Linked DNA regions of Elephas maximus indicus. The protein of the gene in region 2 interacts with the protein of the main gene of each other region in a biochemical or structural test. Links are inferred from orthologs where the notes say so. Each region holds a gene or a part of one and is shown on either strand. Other genes may lie near its edges.

Region 1 (8,005 bases), about 3.3 Mb from region 2:
CCACCTTCGATGGGCCCTCCATTGCCCCCAAGATAATATCCAAAACCTTCAAGTAGCTTCTCTCCTCACTCATGTCTCAACACTACCTGTCTCACACTGCTCTTCATTATCTGCCGAGAATATACTTCTCTCTTGGCCTCATGGCTTACCAACTTCTATTTGGTCCTCGGGTCTCTATGTACCTGCCCTTCCTGAGGGTTGCCCTTCCAGGCACTGTCATAGTCCACCATAGTTCCCCCATCACAGCACTGCCAGTGCATCTTACTTGTACTTGAGAGTTTACGTATCTGCCTCCCCCTCCAGCCTTGCTCTTCAAAGTGATGTCCACAGGCCAGAATCATCAGCCTTGCAGAGCTTGTTAGAGAAGTAGAATCTCAGGCCCCAGCTGGCCCTCCAGGATCAGATGCGCATTTTAACAAGATACCCAAGTGATTCTTATGCACCGTCAAATCTGTAAAGTACTAATCTCTTCACTGCAGGTTCCCTGGGGGCTGGGAACACTGTCTCCCCAGAGATTAGCCCGATGTCTGTCTTCAAGTAAATAGAGATTTAATTGATCAATGCTTCAGCCTCATCTCATGTTCACAAACACACTACACAGGAAAAAACCACATCCCCTTCTATCAGCATAAACCTAATCAGATCTACAGCCTGTACCTTTCATGCCAGGCTTCTTCAGGACACCCCCCCACTCATCGCATATCCTTGTTTCCTGTCAAATCCCATTTTCTCCAAGAAACATATAAATGACCCCTTTATTACTTATGCTTGTTTGTTTCACTATATTTTTAGCTCTAAATGACAGCACAAAGTGGCCAGATTGTCACGGTCATTTTTGAACTTAGTAAATTCGTAAAAACTGATTATCTGTTAATAGTTTTAAAATTATCATCCTCATCAGTCCTATATTTAAAAACAAATTTTTTTTTTTTTTAAGAAGATAGTAGGGGATCTCTCTGCTTCGTGGTAAATCTTCATTATTTTCTCAGCCTGTCGCTGGGTGAGTAGGTTCCGATTCACAGCGACCCCGTGTACAATAGAATGAAACGCTGCTGGGTCCTGTGCTATCCTCACAATCATTGCTGTTTGTCAGCCTCCCAGACCCAAACCCACTGCCATCAAGTCGATTTTGACTAGTAGCGACCCCACAGGACAGAGTAGAACTGCCCCATAGAGTTTCCAAGGAGCACCTGGCAGATTCGAACTGCCGACCATTTTGGCTCGCAGCCATAGCATTTAACCACTACACCACCAGGGTTTCCTTGTCAGCCTGGATGGACTAAATATTCCAATATGTTTATATGTTGTTCAAGTCCAACATTAAATGATACACCACCTTTGCAGAAAGGTATACATTCGACAGTGGTTTTTCACACTCAGCTTCTCACGACTCTCACTACATTCCCTTATAGAATGTTAGATCAGATCTGAAAGAGTTTATGGCTCATATCAAATCTAAAGGCATAAAAAGTCCTTCATAATCCACTTTGTTTTGATCCAGCCCTGAAGTCTACCTTCCCCTATCTCTCTCCTCCCTTTTCTTCCCAGCGAGTTAGTGCTTGGCTGTTAAATGAAAGGTTGGCAGTGTGAACCCACACAGCAGCTTGAGGCAGAAAGACCTGGCAATCTGCTTCTGTAAAGATTAAAAAAAAAGCCCAGAAAACCCTATGAGACAGTTCTAAACTGTTACATGGGGTTCCTATGGGTCGGAATTGACTTGACGGCATCCCACAACAGCAACAACCAAATAGACTGCAGACTCTACAGACTTGCCTAAGATTTATTTCCCTTATTATTATTTTTTTTTATGGGTTACATAGGAGCCCTGGTGGTGTAGCGGTGAAGAGCTTAGGCTGCTAACCAAAAGGTCTGCAGTTTGAATCCACCAGCTGCTCCTTGGAAACCCTACGGGGCAGTTCTACTTTCTCCTATACAGCCCAGTGTGAGTTGGAATCAACTGGAGGGCAATAGGTTTGGTTTTTTTATGGGTCACATGACCAATGACCTTTTATAATGACAATGCCAGAGGGCAGGACTGACAGGCCTTTGGTAGGTAAACACTGTTATACTACACTTTTCTTATGCTGATTCTATTCACTGCATTTCAGGGTGCATAATTTGAACAGAAGTTTACCAATTTATTCAATGCAGGAGTTAATGTCTATGTTAAGTATGTAAAAACTAGCCTTGAGGGGGCCACACTGCCTTTGGGATCTCAGGTTTGCGGTAACATTTCCAGGCGGCATCTTCCCTCTTCCAGCTGGGTCCTGTGGTGGCGACTCCTGAATTCCGTCTGCTCCGATCCTGATCTGTTTGCCACACTCAAAAGCACCCAACATCAGCCTCAAAACTAAGCTGTTTAAATTCAAGGGTAGCTTTGTGTTATGCTTATAGCTTCGTCTGCACCCTCTGCAGGACGACACCATAAATAAAATGCTTGCTGGTTTGTGTTGATTGACTGATTTAAGATAAATAAGCAAACTCAAATGCCTACAGGGGCCAGATAGCGTAAAGCACTAAAGCAAACAGAGCAGGGAGTGTGGTAAACAGGAGCGCCTACTGCTCCTCCGAAGGACCGGCCTGCGGCCACACTTTCAGTCTATTTTCCACTTTTGGAACAGAACCCAAGGTTGTCAGAGCTTCTAATTTTCTAATGCTGTTAGATGCCATCGAGTTGGTATGACCGTACATAACAATGAAACGTTGCTGTGTCCTGTGCCATTCTCACAATAGCAGGAATGTTTGAGTCCATCGTTGCAGCTACTGTGTCAGTCCATCTTGTTGGGGTCTTTTTCTTTTTTACTGACCCTCTAGTGGTTAATGGAGCACTGGTGGTGCAGCGTTTAAGTGCTTGGCTGCTAACCAAAAGGTCGGCAGTTTGAATCTACCAGCCACTCCTTGAAAACCGGATGGGGCACTTCTACTCTGTCCTATAGGGTGGCTAGGAGTAAGAACTGACTCGATGCCAACGGGTTCTACTTTACCAAGTACGATGTCCTTCTCCAGGGATTGGGCCTTCCTGATAACATGCCCAAACCTGGCTTTTATTAATTTCTCAATTTTTAAATACTGGTAATCAATTCAAATTTTCACAAGACACTTTGCAGGCAAATATTATGAGCCAAACCAAACACTTCTGGGGAGCCACAAAATTCTCAGCAGCCAGGGTGCAACCTCTGCATTAAGCGGTGCAGATAAATCATGAACACTCGTTTTCTAAGAAACTGCGATTGCTGGCTGTAAAGGCTAAGAGCTCTGGCTCCAGGCGGGCCAGCCTGGGTTCAGGTCCTGGCACTGCCCTCTCCCTACGCAGACTTGGGCAACTTAAGCTCTATAACCCTCAGATTCCACACCTGTAAAGTGGCCATGATCTTAATACCTGCTTCCTAGGGGTGTTGTGAGGCCCCTTAGTAAGAAGTGGTCCTCAATACCTTCTAACTATTCCTAATTTCTCTTCTCTTCATAACAATGGCATGACTGAAGCATCAAACATTGTGCAAAAGATTTCACAGTCCCAGATATCTCATTCCTCTCTTCATGCACCTGAGGTTTCTCCGTATTATCACCCATCCTTTTTTGTGTATCCAAACGGAACATGCTCTACTTTAAAAAAAAAAAAAAATTATTCGTTGTTGTGAGAATATACACAGCTAAACGTATACCAATCCAGCAATTTCTGTGTACAGTTCAGTGACACTGATTACATTCAAGTTGAGCAACCATTCGCACCCTCCTCTGAGTTGTTCCTCCCATTAACATAACTCACAGCTCTCTAAGGTTCCTATCTGATTTTTTGAGTCGAATATGCTCTACTTCTAAAATCACAGATCTAACCCGGGCGAAAACCAAGCCCCCTTACACACACACACACACACACACCCCTTTTCTGTTCCCCCTTACACACACACACACACACACACACCCCTTTTCTGTTATTAAAGGTCTGTGCTTGTCACTTCGCTGGAGCTAGCCCGGCTCTCTTAGTGTGAAAACCTTTCTTTCCTGAACTCTTTCCGGGGATTGTTTACAGATATCTCTAATTGCTTATTTATGATAAGGACAAGGCAAGTACTTTCCCCCACCCTACCTTTCCTGCCAGGAAAACCTTTCTTCTCTTGCAATTCTTAAAACCACGCTACAACCGCAGCCTGCTCTACGACCGGTTGTTGCAAATTCTCTGTCCCTACGGCGTCTCCGGAAACCTTGGTGGCGCAGTGGTGAAGAGCCATGTCTGCTAACCAAAAGGTCGGCAGTTTGAATCCACCAGGCGCTCCCTGGAAACCGTATGGGGCAGTTCTACTCTGTCCTATAGGGTCGCTGTGAGTCGGAATCGACTCGATGGCAATGATTTTTTTTGGTTTTACCGCGTCTCCTCTCCCAGTCATTTCAGGAAGTGATTTAGGGGCTGGGGAAAGGTCTCGCCACAGTCTTCCGCACTCGGAAGGCGCTGCAGGCGCCCTAGACGGCCGCCGCCTGGCCCGCCCAGCGCCCCGCTGCGGGACGGGAGCGCGGCCGGGGGTCGGTGTCCGGGGTGCGGCGCCACCGCGGGTGCGGAGCGGGGCCCGGAGTCGGCGCCGCTGCAGGTCCGCGCTCTGCGCCAGCCGCGCAGCTGAGTTTCCCGCGGTCCTGGCCGGGACGCGCTCCTCCCACAGCGACGTCCTGGCTGGCGGAGAGGGGGCGGTGCGGGCGTTAAGTTTCCCTACGTCACCGGGAAGTCCCTTTAAGTGCAGCGCGCGGGGGGGCGGGGGGACCTCAGAGTGTCCGAGCGCGTACAGAGTTCGGTCACACCTCCGCCTGTCTCCCGCCTGGTGCAGTGTACTCCCCGCGCTCTGCCCGCATCCTGCAGTCAGAGCCCTGGGAACTCGCTTGGGGACTGTGCTCGCGGGTTCGCCGCAGAGCTGCGAACGGCTGCTGACCGAGATGCCGGGGAAGAAGGCACGCAAGAGCGCGCAGCCCGGCCCTGCCGGGACCCCGGCAGGTACTCAACAGCCGGGCCGGGGGGACCAGGCAGGCCGGGGGGACCAGGCGGGCCGGGGTGGCGGTCTCGGGCGGGCGGGCAGGGTCGGGGCTCGGGCCGGCGGGGATGGGGCTCAGGCCCAGACTGCATGCGGTTCCAGGTCCGGCCAGGTCTGCCCGCCTGCGATGCCACCAGGAAGCCCTTGCGGGGCTTTCCCAGGACCGTGGAGGCGGCCTGGGAGGAAGCTTTGCTTGGTATTGGGATGTAGCTACGTTTCAGACGGGACAGAAAGCTCCCCTGTCTTCCCCCTCCCTACAGACACACAAGCCGATTGCCCTGCGCTGGGGCCGTGGGACAAAAAAGTGCAAGTGCAGGCGGCTGCAGTGAGCAGAAAGTCACTGTCATGGCAGGTGGGGTGGGAGCGGGCCCCCCTTCGGAGCCTGCACCCCAGCGCTGCCCGCGACAGGCCTTTCCCTCCCGAGTCGTGGTCCTCTGACGGTCTCTGCTCTGTTACCAAAAACCCACTACGCGGTACTTAAAGCTTGTTACTGCCTCGGCTTCTCCACACAGGGCTAATTGAGGGTTTATAGGGACCCCGCAAGAACCTCGACATTTAGGAACCTAGAAAGTTTTCTTTCTTCGAAGCTTAAGAGTGTACCTCTTAAATGGTCCATATTAATTGCAGCGGGGGTGGGGGTGGCGCTAGATAGATGAGTGGAGGTTGGTCCCCAAGCCTTTTCCACCCATCCATCCGTTCCTCGCTCCATCCCCCGCACACAGATCTCCATCAGGTGACTTTTTAAGTCACCGCCCCCCCCATCCTTTCATAAATCTTATCAAAGAAGGCAGCCATCAGTAAGGGGCAGTAGCGAGGAAGGGCCCTAGGCCTCTGGGCTTGAAATCCGTGTAGGTCCTACTGCTGTTGCATCAGAAGACTAATAGACACCTCTTAGTTTCGTTTTATAAAGCCGTTGGGGCGGCAGAGGAAGTGGGGGTGCTTTGTGAACGTGGAGATGGCTGTGTGCAACCAGGCCGCCCTTTCTGGATCTTGGCGTGGGGTGAAAAAAGCTTTGACGACTTCTTGTGAAGTTCAAAGTTCTGACCGTGTTCCTTAAAGATTTGCCGGGAACCTGTGCGTAGCCCTCCCAGGCTCCATCTACTTAGTTCGCGGTAACAAGGAACAGCAGGAAGTCCCTCTTAAACTTGATTAGATATTAGTACATTTACAGGTGTGCAACTATAAAAAAAAAGTTAAAGAAATAACTAGGAGCTATTTTTTTTTTTGTGAAAGGAATCATTTTTGCTCTTAGAATTCAGGGCTCCCAGAATATTATGCTGAATGATATCTTGTCAGTTGCCATCAAGTCGGTTCTGATGCTAATATCCCACTCACTGAAAAGTAAACTTTTCTTTGTAAATTCTTTTCAAAATGTTTGGAGTAAACCCGACCCTATAGTCTATAAAGAATGGCATCTTAAGAGATCTATTAAAAAACAAAAACCCGAGCCCATTGCTGTGGAGTCGATTCTGACTCATAGCGACCCTACAGGACAGGGTAGAGCTGCCGCCGTGGAGTTTCCAAGGAGCGGCTGGTGAATTCGAACTGACAGCGTTTGGTTAGCAGCCAAGTTCTTAGCCACTGCAGCACCAGGACTCTTGAGAGCTATTAGTTCTCCAAAAATTACTTTCTAAAAGGGTCAGGAGCCCTGATGGGGCAGTGGTTAAGAGCGCAGCTGCTAACCAAAACGTCATCAGTTCAAATCCACCAGCCGCTCCTTGGAAACCCTATGGGGCAGCTCTATTCTGCCCTATAGGGTGGCTATGAGCTTCTTCCTACACAGTGTAGGGGTCGGAATGGACTTGCCGGCAACGGGTTTGGTTTGAACAGGGGTAAGGAAAGATTTTGCCAGCTCTTGGAGAGAAATTGATTAAAATGGAGGTTTAAAAACCTGTTTTACTGTATATTTACAGTTTTCATTTATTTTGAGCCCAGCCACTACTTAAGAGCTGGAGCTTCTAACCAAAAGGTCGGCAGTTGTAATCTGCCAGGCACTCCTTGAAAATCCTATGGGGCAGTTCTACTCTGTCCTGGGTCGCTATGAGTGGTAACTGACTGGACAGCAACGGGTTTTTTTTTTTTTTCCCACGATTTGTAGTCAGAGATTTTTAATGTTCATAATCATTATTTTCAAGTGGACTAAAAGACCCTGAGTTGCTCTTTGAAATATCAGAGAAAATTAAAATTATCCTTAGTATAGATTTAGAATTAATTTCATTTACTTATGAATTTACTTGGAAATTAGGTCTAAGTATTCTTTTTCTTAAATTAATATTCAGTTAACTACAGTATCTCAATTCTAAAAAGCAGGGAACTTAATAGAAATTTAACATTACTTGTTTTCTGCTTCAGTCGTCTCCATAAAGGCAATGGATTGGTACAGATTGGGCTTGTAGGAAGAAATTTTTGCTAGAGTAAAATGTAAACTTTTAAATTATTTAAGAGAATTTGCACTTAGAAATTTTGAAATAAAATTAATGAGTTTTATGATAAAAATTCAAAGGGATTTTTTTTTAATGAGGAAAAGGATAAATTTAGATTGGCCTATTATTGAGGGTAAAACCTAAGCGATGAATTATTGACATTTAAAAAATGAATTCTATTTGAAAAACAACACAGAAGGGTTTAGAATTTGGCTTCTGTTCCCCGACCAACCTTAAGTGAGAGAGAAAAGGATGACCTCACCTGGGATTGCTAAAGATAGACTAAAGTTACTCTGTGGTGTTTGACATATTAAATTTCCGTATTTCAAAGTAACATTTGCCTCATTCAGGATGCTTTCTAAAAACAAAATTCAAAATAACCGTCTTTATTTTTACCTCTACTATTTTTTGTTGTTGTTTATGAATCACAGTGTGCTACTGGGTGTGTATGTGTTGGGTCTTTCTATGTCTTACATTCAGAGGTCAGGCTTACATAAAGCTAAGATAAATAACTCACTTGGATGGGCGTATTAACTCTAGTTGAGTACAGTTTGGATTGTTGCCAGT
Region 2 (7,715 bases):
CAGAGTAGAACTGCTCCATAGGTTTTTTTTTTTTTGGGCTGTAATCTTTATGGAAGCAAATTGCCAGGCCTTTCTTCCTTGGTGCTGGCGGGTGGGTTAGAACCGCCAGCCTTTAGGTTAGTGCAAATGTTTGCATCACCCATTGACCTGACCCATTGCAGCTGAGTTGATTCCGACTCATAGCGATCCTGTATCAAAAAAACCAAACCAAACCCACTGCCGCCGAGTCGATTCCGACTCATAGCGACCCTACAGGACAGAGTAGAACTGCCCAGCGACCCTATAGGACAAAGTAAAACTCCATGGAGTTTCCAAGGAGCAGCTGGTGAATTCAAACTGCTGACCTTTTGGTTAGCAGCCATAGCTCGCCGGGTCTCAGGAGGACTGGGACTTTCAACTTAACCACTGCACCACCAGGGATTCCTGAAAAACCTTTATTATGTATAAGATACTTAAAATTGGAAGCTTATTTTTTTTGAGTGCTTATCTAGGCCTGTAAGATATCAACTGTAAATAGTTCATTTTTCTTTTCTGGAAGTTAAATTGACTTACTACTTGTTTTTGCTCTCTCTAGTCAGTTGGTTTTGTTTATGGATTTATCTCCCTGTTGGTCTGCCTAAACGGTTTGGGGTCATGTTTCCTGTTTTTATATTTTTCATCTTATTAGTTATCAGTTCCCTCTAAGTTAATGGTCCGCTTATACCATTGTTTTAAATAAAAAGTTAGATAGTTGGGAAGATTTAATAGATACATATATTAAGTATGTCTACATTAGAATAATGTTCTTTTTGAATTTAATAAACTTCGGGAGCATTTATGCTGGTGATGGATGAAGATAAGTTTCTTAATTATTCGATTAAACACCAACCAGTAGGTGGCGAAAACTGGCAATAAAAAGCTTTTTGTTTGGCAGACTGGAGGTTAAAAAAGGAAAACACGCCTTTTAGACTCTTCATACAATCCCCAACCTGTGCATCTTGGCTCTTTTCTCTTCCTGGTGCCACCTTACTCTTACAATCCAAACAGGCAAAACTGGCAAAAGGGTCGTCCCTTTGCTCTAAACAGAGGAAGACATCTTGGAGAGAGTGTCTATTTGGAAGGCTGTTGATGGTCTCAGGCATGATCTAGGAGTCAAGCCCAGGACTTCTTCCACTACCTCACCATTACCCAAAGGCACACAGTTCATTTTACACCCTTTCTAGGAATACCTTCCCTTGTTTGAAATGGATTCCAATAAGCATGGAATCAGAAGGGAAGAATGGTTTCATTCTTTCAATTGAAAGAGTATAGAGACCATCCCCAGCGAATATATAGCCCTAGTTAAGGGCTATAATGCAGACCTGCTCTGAGAAAGTATTTGGTTAGAATCAAGATGTCACTTACGGAATTACTCTGAGAAAATCCTTGAAGTGAGGCTATATGGGAACAAAGAAAAGGAAAAAATACAGAAGCATTTCTTTCTCTGGGAAGAGGGGGTTTATTTCTTTCCGGTTGCCCTTTGCATAGTACAATCTCTTTTCTAGCTCTACCCTCTCATTTCCTCACTCATAAGCTGGGTCTCAGGAGGACTGAGGCTTTCAACTTCTTTTCTTAAAAAATTTTTGAGGTTTAAGACAAGTTTCTGAGACAATTCCATATGGGCTCATTTAAACCATTGTTGTTGTTGTGGTTAGCTGCCTTTGAGTCACCCCGGACTCATGGCCACCCCATGCGCAATGGAAGGAAACTCTGCCTAGTCCTACATCTTCCCCATGATCAGTTGGGGATCAGACTATTGTGATCCATAGGGTTTTTACTGGCTGATTTTTGGGGAAATACATCTCCAAGCCAAGAAAGGCTAGTCCGTCTGAGTCTGGAAGCTCTGCTGAAACCCGTTCAGCATCCTAGCAACACACAAGGCTCCAGTGACAGATGGGTGGTGGCTGTATATGAGGCACATTGGCCAGGAATTGAATCCAGGCCTCCCACATGGAAGGCGAGAATTCTACCACTGAATCACCACTGCTCCCCCCCCCCTTAAATCATAACGTTGTGGAATTAACACAGTTTTCTACTTATTTCTATGAGAACTTATATTCAAGGTCAATCTCTACCCAGTGTCTATGTCAAGCCAGAACACCTCCTCACCACTGCCCACAGGTCAAAGGGGACTCTCTGTCAGAGCCATCAGAAGTGTGGGAAGGAACATCTTTCTTTATTCCCCTTGCCTGGGTAAGAAGTTCGTACGAGGCATCCATTCCTATATATAAGACCTTTAAACGTTGGCTGACTGGGTATGATAAATGAAGAAATGAAAACAATTTGGTGTGCTCATTTTGCAAAGGAATAAATGCTTTTTTTTTTTTTTTACTAGAAATGAGAAAAATATCAAAGATGGTGTCAGAACATATTTGCACACATTGTAGGAATCATTTGTCACGTTTCTATAATAAGCCCCATGTCCCTATATATTTGCATTTGAGGCTATTAGGCTGCTGTGCTTTTGCTAAACATTTTGTTTCTTGGTGCTTTATTTGTCAAAGACTCTCAGAGATAAAAATAGTTAAACGTGTGCAACTTGTTTGTCCTCTTGTTCTTTTCGTCTCGGGGTTATTCGTGCTTATGCACAAAAAAATGTGTGGGGTGTATGTGTACATATATTTGTGTGTGTACATATATGCATGTGTGTGTACATATATGCATGTGTGTGTAAATGTGTATGTAAACATGTATGTGTGTGTATATACACATACATACACACACAGCAACACTCGGCTCCATGCAAGAAAGATGTGGCAGTTTGCTTCCCTAAAGATCGCAGTCTTGGAAACTCTATGGGGCAGTTCTACTCTGTCCTATAGAAATCAAAGGCAATGGGTTTGGTTTTGAAGATATCTATCTACTTTATCTACCTATCTAGTATCTATCTATCTACCTGTTTTCCATCTACCTACCTATCCAGTCCTTCTGACTCATGGGAACCCTATGTGTCACAGTAGAACTGTGGTCCATAGAGTTTTCAAGGCTGTGACCTTTAAAAAGCAAGTCGTCAGGTCTTTGTTCAACGGTGCCTCTTAGTGGATTCAAACTGCCAACTTTTAGGTTAGTAGCACTTGGTTGGTAGCCAACCACACTTAACCATTTGCGTTTATACACACACACACATATATACACAGATATACAATTTGAGAAGATGTAGCCATCAAGGGTTGGCTGCTTGGCAGAGGTGGAGACTTTCACAAACCCACTGTTAAGACTGTGGGCCTAGAAGTTGCCCTGTGGCCCTCCACAGGATCTAGCCCTAACCCAGTGCCGAAATTGTGAGGAGCAGAGAAAAAACACTGGCTTAACTATTGGAAAGCCCTTGATATCCTCCAGTCGGCCCTTCACTGGACCACTTAAAGTTATGTCTGGCCTTGGTCACAGATAGTGGCTTCAGGTTTAAACTGGGCCGGATGGTATGTGTTTAGGTGCCGGCAGGCGCGCGCGCGCTTGTGTGTGTGCTGCATGGACACCGAGGAAGCAACCTGAAAGTAAACAGGACGCTACCGCGCTTCCCTCGCTAACAAATGCGCGGAATGGGTAGGGTCGCCTCTTCACGGGAGGGCAGCGCCGAGGTCCCGGCTGCGGTCAGCACCGGCCTAGGTCCGCCATGGGCCGAGCGCTGGTAACTCGCTGTGTGCGCGCGCGCACACACACAACACACACACACACACGCATACGCTTTGAAAGGGTCAAAGCGAATCCTCTGCGCTTCTCCAAGGCTTGTTTGCATGGCGCACCACCCGGCCCTTCTCTGCGCTCTGCTGCCGGCTGGCAGAGTGCAGTCCCCGACGCCCTGGCCTCTCGCTCCGCTCGCTCGCCCGCGGCCCCGAGAGCCGGCCGCCGCAGGCCCGAGGAGGCCGCGCACACCCACCGCGCCCGGTCGCGCGGGAGGCCTGTGTCGCGCGCCACCCACCGGCCGGGCTCGCTGGCGGGCGGTGGTGGCCGAGCAGGCGGCCTCCAGCACGCCCCTCACTGCGGCCCCGCGCCCAGGCCCACGGCGGGCTCGCGGCTCGGGCCCGGGCGCGGTGCCTTTAACCGGGCCGGGAGCGGGCTCCGAGGCGGGCGCGCTCTGGCTTCTTTTTTTGAATGAACAGTGTGACGTACACACAGGAAACCAGCGGGTCTGTGAGGAGAATGAAGTCAGAGCGCCCCCCCGCCCGCCGTCCTCCCCGCCCCCTCCGCCGCCGCGCGCCCGCCCGCCGCCCTGGGGTCCCCGCCGAGCCGCCGCTGCCGCCAGTGACTGCGCGGCCGGGCCTCCCGGCGGTCCCCGCTCCGAGCGGGCTGCGCGCGGGAGCAGCGGGGGGCGGCGCGCAGGGCCCGGAGGCGGCGGAGGAGAAAGGGTGCGCAGCCTGGAGGCGGGGTGCGCCGTGGGGTGCAGCGGAAGCGGGGGTCCAGGGGGGAGAACTTCGTAGCCGTCATCCTTTTTAGGAAAAGAGGGAAAAAATAAAGCCTCCGCCCCGCCTTCTCCCCACCCCTCGCGGCACCACACACAGCGCTGTGCTCGCGCGGCCCGGGCCGGCGTCCGCCGCCGCGTTGCTCCAGCGGCTCTCCGGGAAATGCTCGCTGCTCGCAGTTTTACCCGAAGAGGACTGACTCCTGTCCCCGCCCGGTCCTCCAGCGTCCCCGCCCCGCCTGTCCCTCTCCCGGGGAGGCGTGCAGGGCCCCGCGGAGAGCGACGCCTGTGCCCGCGCGCGCGTGTGTGTGCGCGCGTGGAAATTGCCCAGAGGGGACATCGCTGGACTTCTGCAAATACCGGACTGAAAATTGTAATTCATCTGCCGCCGCTGCCTTTTCCCTCGTGCTGGGGATTCCTACTGGTTGACATTTCTGTGCAGCAGAAGTCTGGGGATCATTCTGGAAATTCTTCTGATTTTTAACCCCCCGCCCCCCAACTCCTGATTCCTCTGGAAGTTTCTCAGCAGCTCTAACTGGAGAGCTCAGAAGATTGATGGGATTCTTGCCTTATGCGTTTATTTGTACAAAAAAGGAAGCTTGACAGAGGATCATGCTACCCCTAAAAAATACAAGTAAGTTCTTTGCACAGGAAATGGGCTTCATGTAACTTTTGATGGAAACATTTGAGATTTTAACTTTAAGTGCATTCGAGTAAGTTGGATTTCCAGGCAGTTGAATCCATTCTTTTGAGCTGTGAAACTTGTAGTGTGTATGTCCCGCTTGCACCCGGTGTATAAAGGAAAATGCACCTGATTTTGACTATGTCTTTTTTTTTTTAACCTTTCAGCATCACGGAGGAAGTAGACCTATAGTGCAATAATTATTAATAATAATAACGTGCCTCATGCAATAAAGATCCAAAAGGAATTTAAATAAAAATTTCCTGAATCCCATGCCAAGGGGGAAACCCCAGAGTCGAGTTCCGCGTGACTGAAGACACCCCCTCTTCCAAGAATGCAAAGCACATCCAATAAAATCGTTGGATTATAACTCTTCTCTTGGCTTTTGGGGGCGCGGGCTGGGAGCGGGGCCGAGCGGGAAGGATGGCGCACGCAGGGAGAACAGGTTATGACAACCGGGAGATAGTGATGAAGTATATCCACTATAAGCTGTCGCAGCGGGGCTACGAATGGGAGGCTGGCGAAGCTAGCGCCGCGCCCCCCGGGGCCGCTCCCGCGCCGGGCGTCCTCTCTTCTCCGCCCGCGGCGCCCCGGGGCCCGGACACCAGGACCTCGCCGCTCCAGGCTGACCCGACCGCGCAGCCGGCGCTCAGCCCGGTGCCACCTGTAGTTCACCTGACCTTGCGCCAGGCCGGCGACGACTTCTCCAGGCGCTACCGCCGCGACTTCGCCGAGATGTCGAGCCAGCTGCACCTGACTCCCTTCACCGCGAGGGGACGCTTTGCCACGGTGGTGGAGGAGCTCTTCAGGGACGGGGTGAACTGGGGGCGGATTGTGGCCTTCTTTGAGTTCGGTGGGGTCATGTGTGTGGAGAGCGTCAACCGGGAGATGTCGCCCCTGGTGGACAACATCGCCCTCTGGATGACTGAGTACCTGAACCGGCACCTGCACACCTGGATCCAGGATAACGGAGGATGGGTAGGTGCATGTGTGGTTGAATGGGAGTCTGTGCTTGAGGTCTGAGGTGGAGACGCAGTGGTTGATGTGTGGGTGGACTCCGGGGTCAAGGGGAGTCTGTTGAGAAAGCAACCAGGTTACTTTCTTCCCTGCTTCCCTCCTTCTTCCACCTAACAAGGCTTTCCCTGGCAACCCTTCTGTGATAATTTCTTCCGCCGAAGGGGTTTTCCTTGAGTGTCAGCCGTTGAAGTTCAGTGATCCAGCATTGGCTTTCCAGTAGGTTCTTGTGGTAAATGGGATCCCTTGAATGTTTCTCAAGCCTGTGGTCCAGGCAACACTCCCCCAATCAGTTACCTGGCTCAGGTAGCTTGTTGACATTGGCGATTTCAGGGGTCACTCATGCCTACTGAACCAGACCCCAGGGTTCGGTCTTGACAATTTGCATTTAAACAAGTTCCCCCGAGGGATTCTTCTGTGTGCCAAAATTTGAGAACCACACAGAAGAACAGACTCCACCAGAGGACCAAGGTGATGTCTTCTTTGAATCACTTAGTAAAATTTACCCAAAGAGGAAAACAAATATATCCTCTTTCCGTGGAAAACTTAGCTGTGTTTGTAAAGAGGTAAGTTGCCATTCCAGAAGTCCTTGGACACTAGCCTACAGTGTGTATCACATTCCCAGTGGGCGTGACAGTCTGTCTTGAAGAATGTTAGATATAGATGTTTTGCCTTAACTCCTTGGTGACAGAATTTGCATCGGCTGCATGCATCGTGGGCTATTTTTATAACTAGTGTATGATTTAAAAGTTTATTAGAATCTTAGTGTCTTTTACTTTTCACCACCTAGAATCCACATAATTTTGTTGTCTCCTCTGCTAAAAATGCTTACATCTAGGGTATCTGTGTGATGTGTAGAAGAATTGATTCTTAGCTGTGGATTCTCTCATGCCTTGCTGTGAGTTGAAGTGATTGATACCTGCAGCTTTGAAGAACACCTGTGAGGTGATTTGTTTCTGGTACGGTGCTCCACAGAGCTTCCGTGATTTTGCCATGCCGTTGTTCTTTTCCGTGATTCTTTTGGGGGAGGGGTGCAGATCCTATGACTCAAGAATTGTAATTCAAATCAACATCTCATATCTAAATGTATGAATTGTGAAAAAATAAAAGAAGATAATTCTTGTCTGAGGTTATTTTAGGACTTTTGTTTTAATCTGAGGACTTATCTTTGGAAAAGGATGCAATTCATTGCTTTCTCTTACAGTCCCTTGGGAGAATTACTAATGGAATTATTGTATAGGACTGAAGAACAAAAAGTCTGGAAATGACTACAAGTGGCTTAGAATTCAAGAAGCACATTACATGTTTTACTACGTTTTACAAAGTGTCCTAATACTAAGGGGCCCAAAAGAGAAAAGGTCAAGAAAAACAGATGACTTTGACCAAAGTTGACAAAAATTTTGATGCCCATGTTGGGTGTTTAAAATTAACTCACATATCTTTGTTTATATCTCTGAAATCTAAATGTTCTTTGTGAGTTATTTCCTGGTTTGTTTTTCGAGACCCACATTATAAGATCTTTAGTAATTCCGGAGGAATTCACCAAAGGGTGAAAAGAATATTTGTGTTCAATGTTTGGTCAAGGAAGTTTTGTTTTTTTTT

The links. The genes of interacting proteins can lie anywhere in the genome.
Region 1: the proteins of BCL2 (region 2) and PMAIP1 interact in a biophysical measurement, tested with the Homo sapiens proteins (2 studies listed by BioGRID and IntAct, with this or other methods). The link is inferred for Elephas maximus indicus from reciprocal best matches to the Homo sapiens genes BCL2 and PMAIP1.

Annotation. Positions count from the first base shown.
Region 1 is NC_064829.1:68,321,002-68,329,006, forward strand, and holds the start of PMAIP1 (phorbol-12-myristate-13-acetate-induced protein 1), read left to right. Parts: upstream 1-4,761; 5' UTR 4,762-4,920; coding exon 4,921-4,978; intron 4,979-8,005. UniProt on the Homo sapiens protein: Promotes activation of caspases and apoptosis. Promotes mitochondrial membrane changes and efflux of apoptogenic proteins from the mitochondria. Contributes to p53/TP53-dependent apoptosis after radiation exposure. Promotes proteasomal degradation of MCL1.
Region 2 is NC_064829.1:71,624,826-71,632,540, reverse strand, and holds the start of BCL2 (apoptosis regulator Bcl-2), read left to right. Parts: upstream 1-4,255; 5' UTR 4,256-5,051; exon of another isoform or gene 5,052-5,266; 5' UTR 5,267-5,522; coding exon 5,523-6,077; exon of another isoform or gene 6,078-6,679; intron 6,680-7,715. UniProt on the Homo sapiens protein: Suppresses apoptosis in a variety of cell systems including factor-dependent lymphohematopoietic and neural cells. Regulates cell death by controlling the mitochondrial membrane permeability. Appears to function in a feedback loop system with caspases.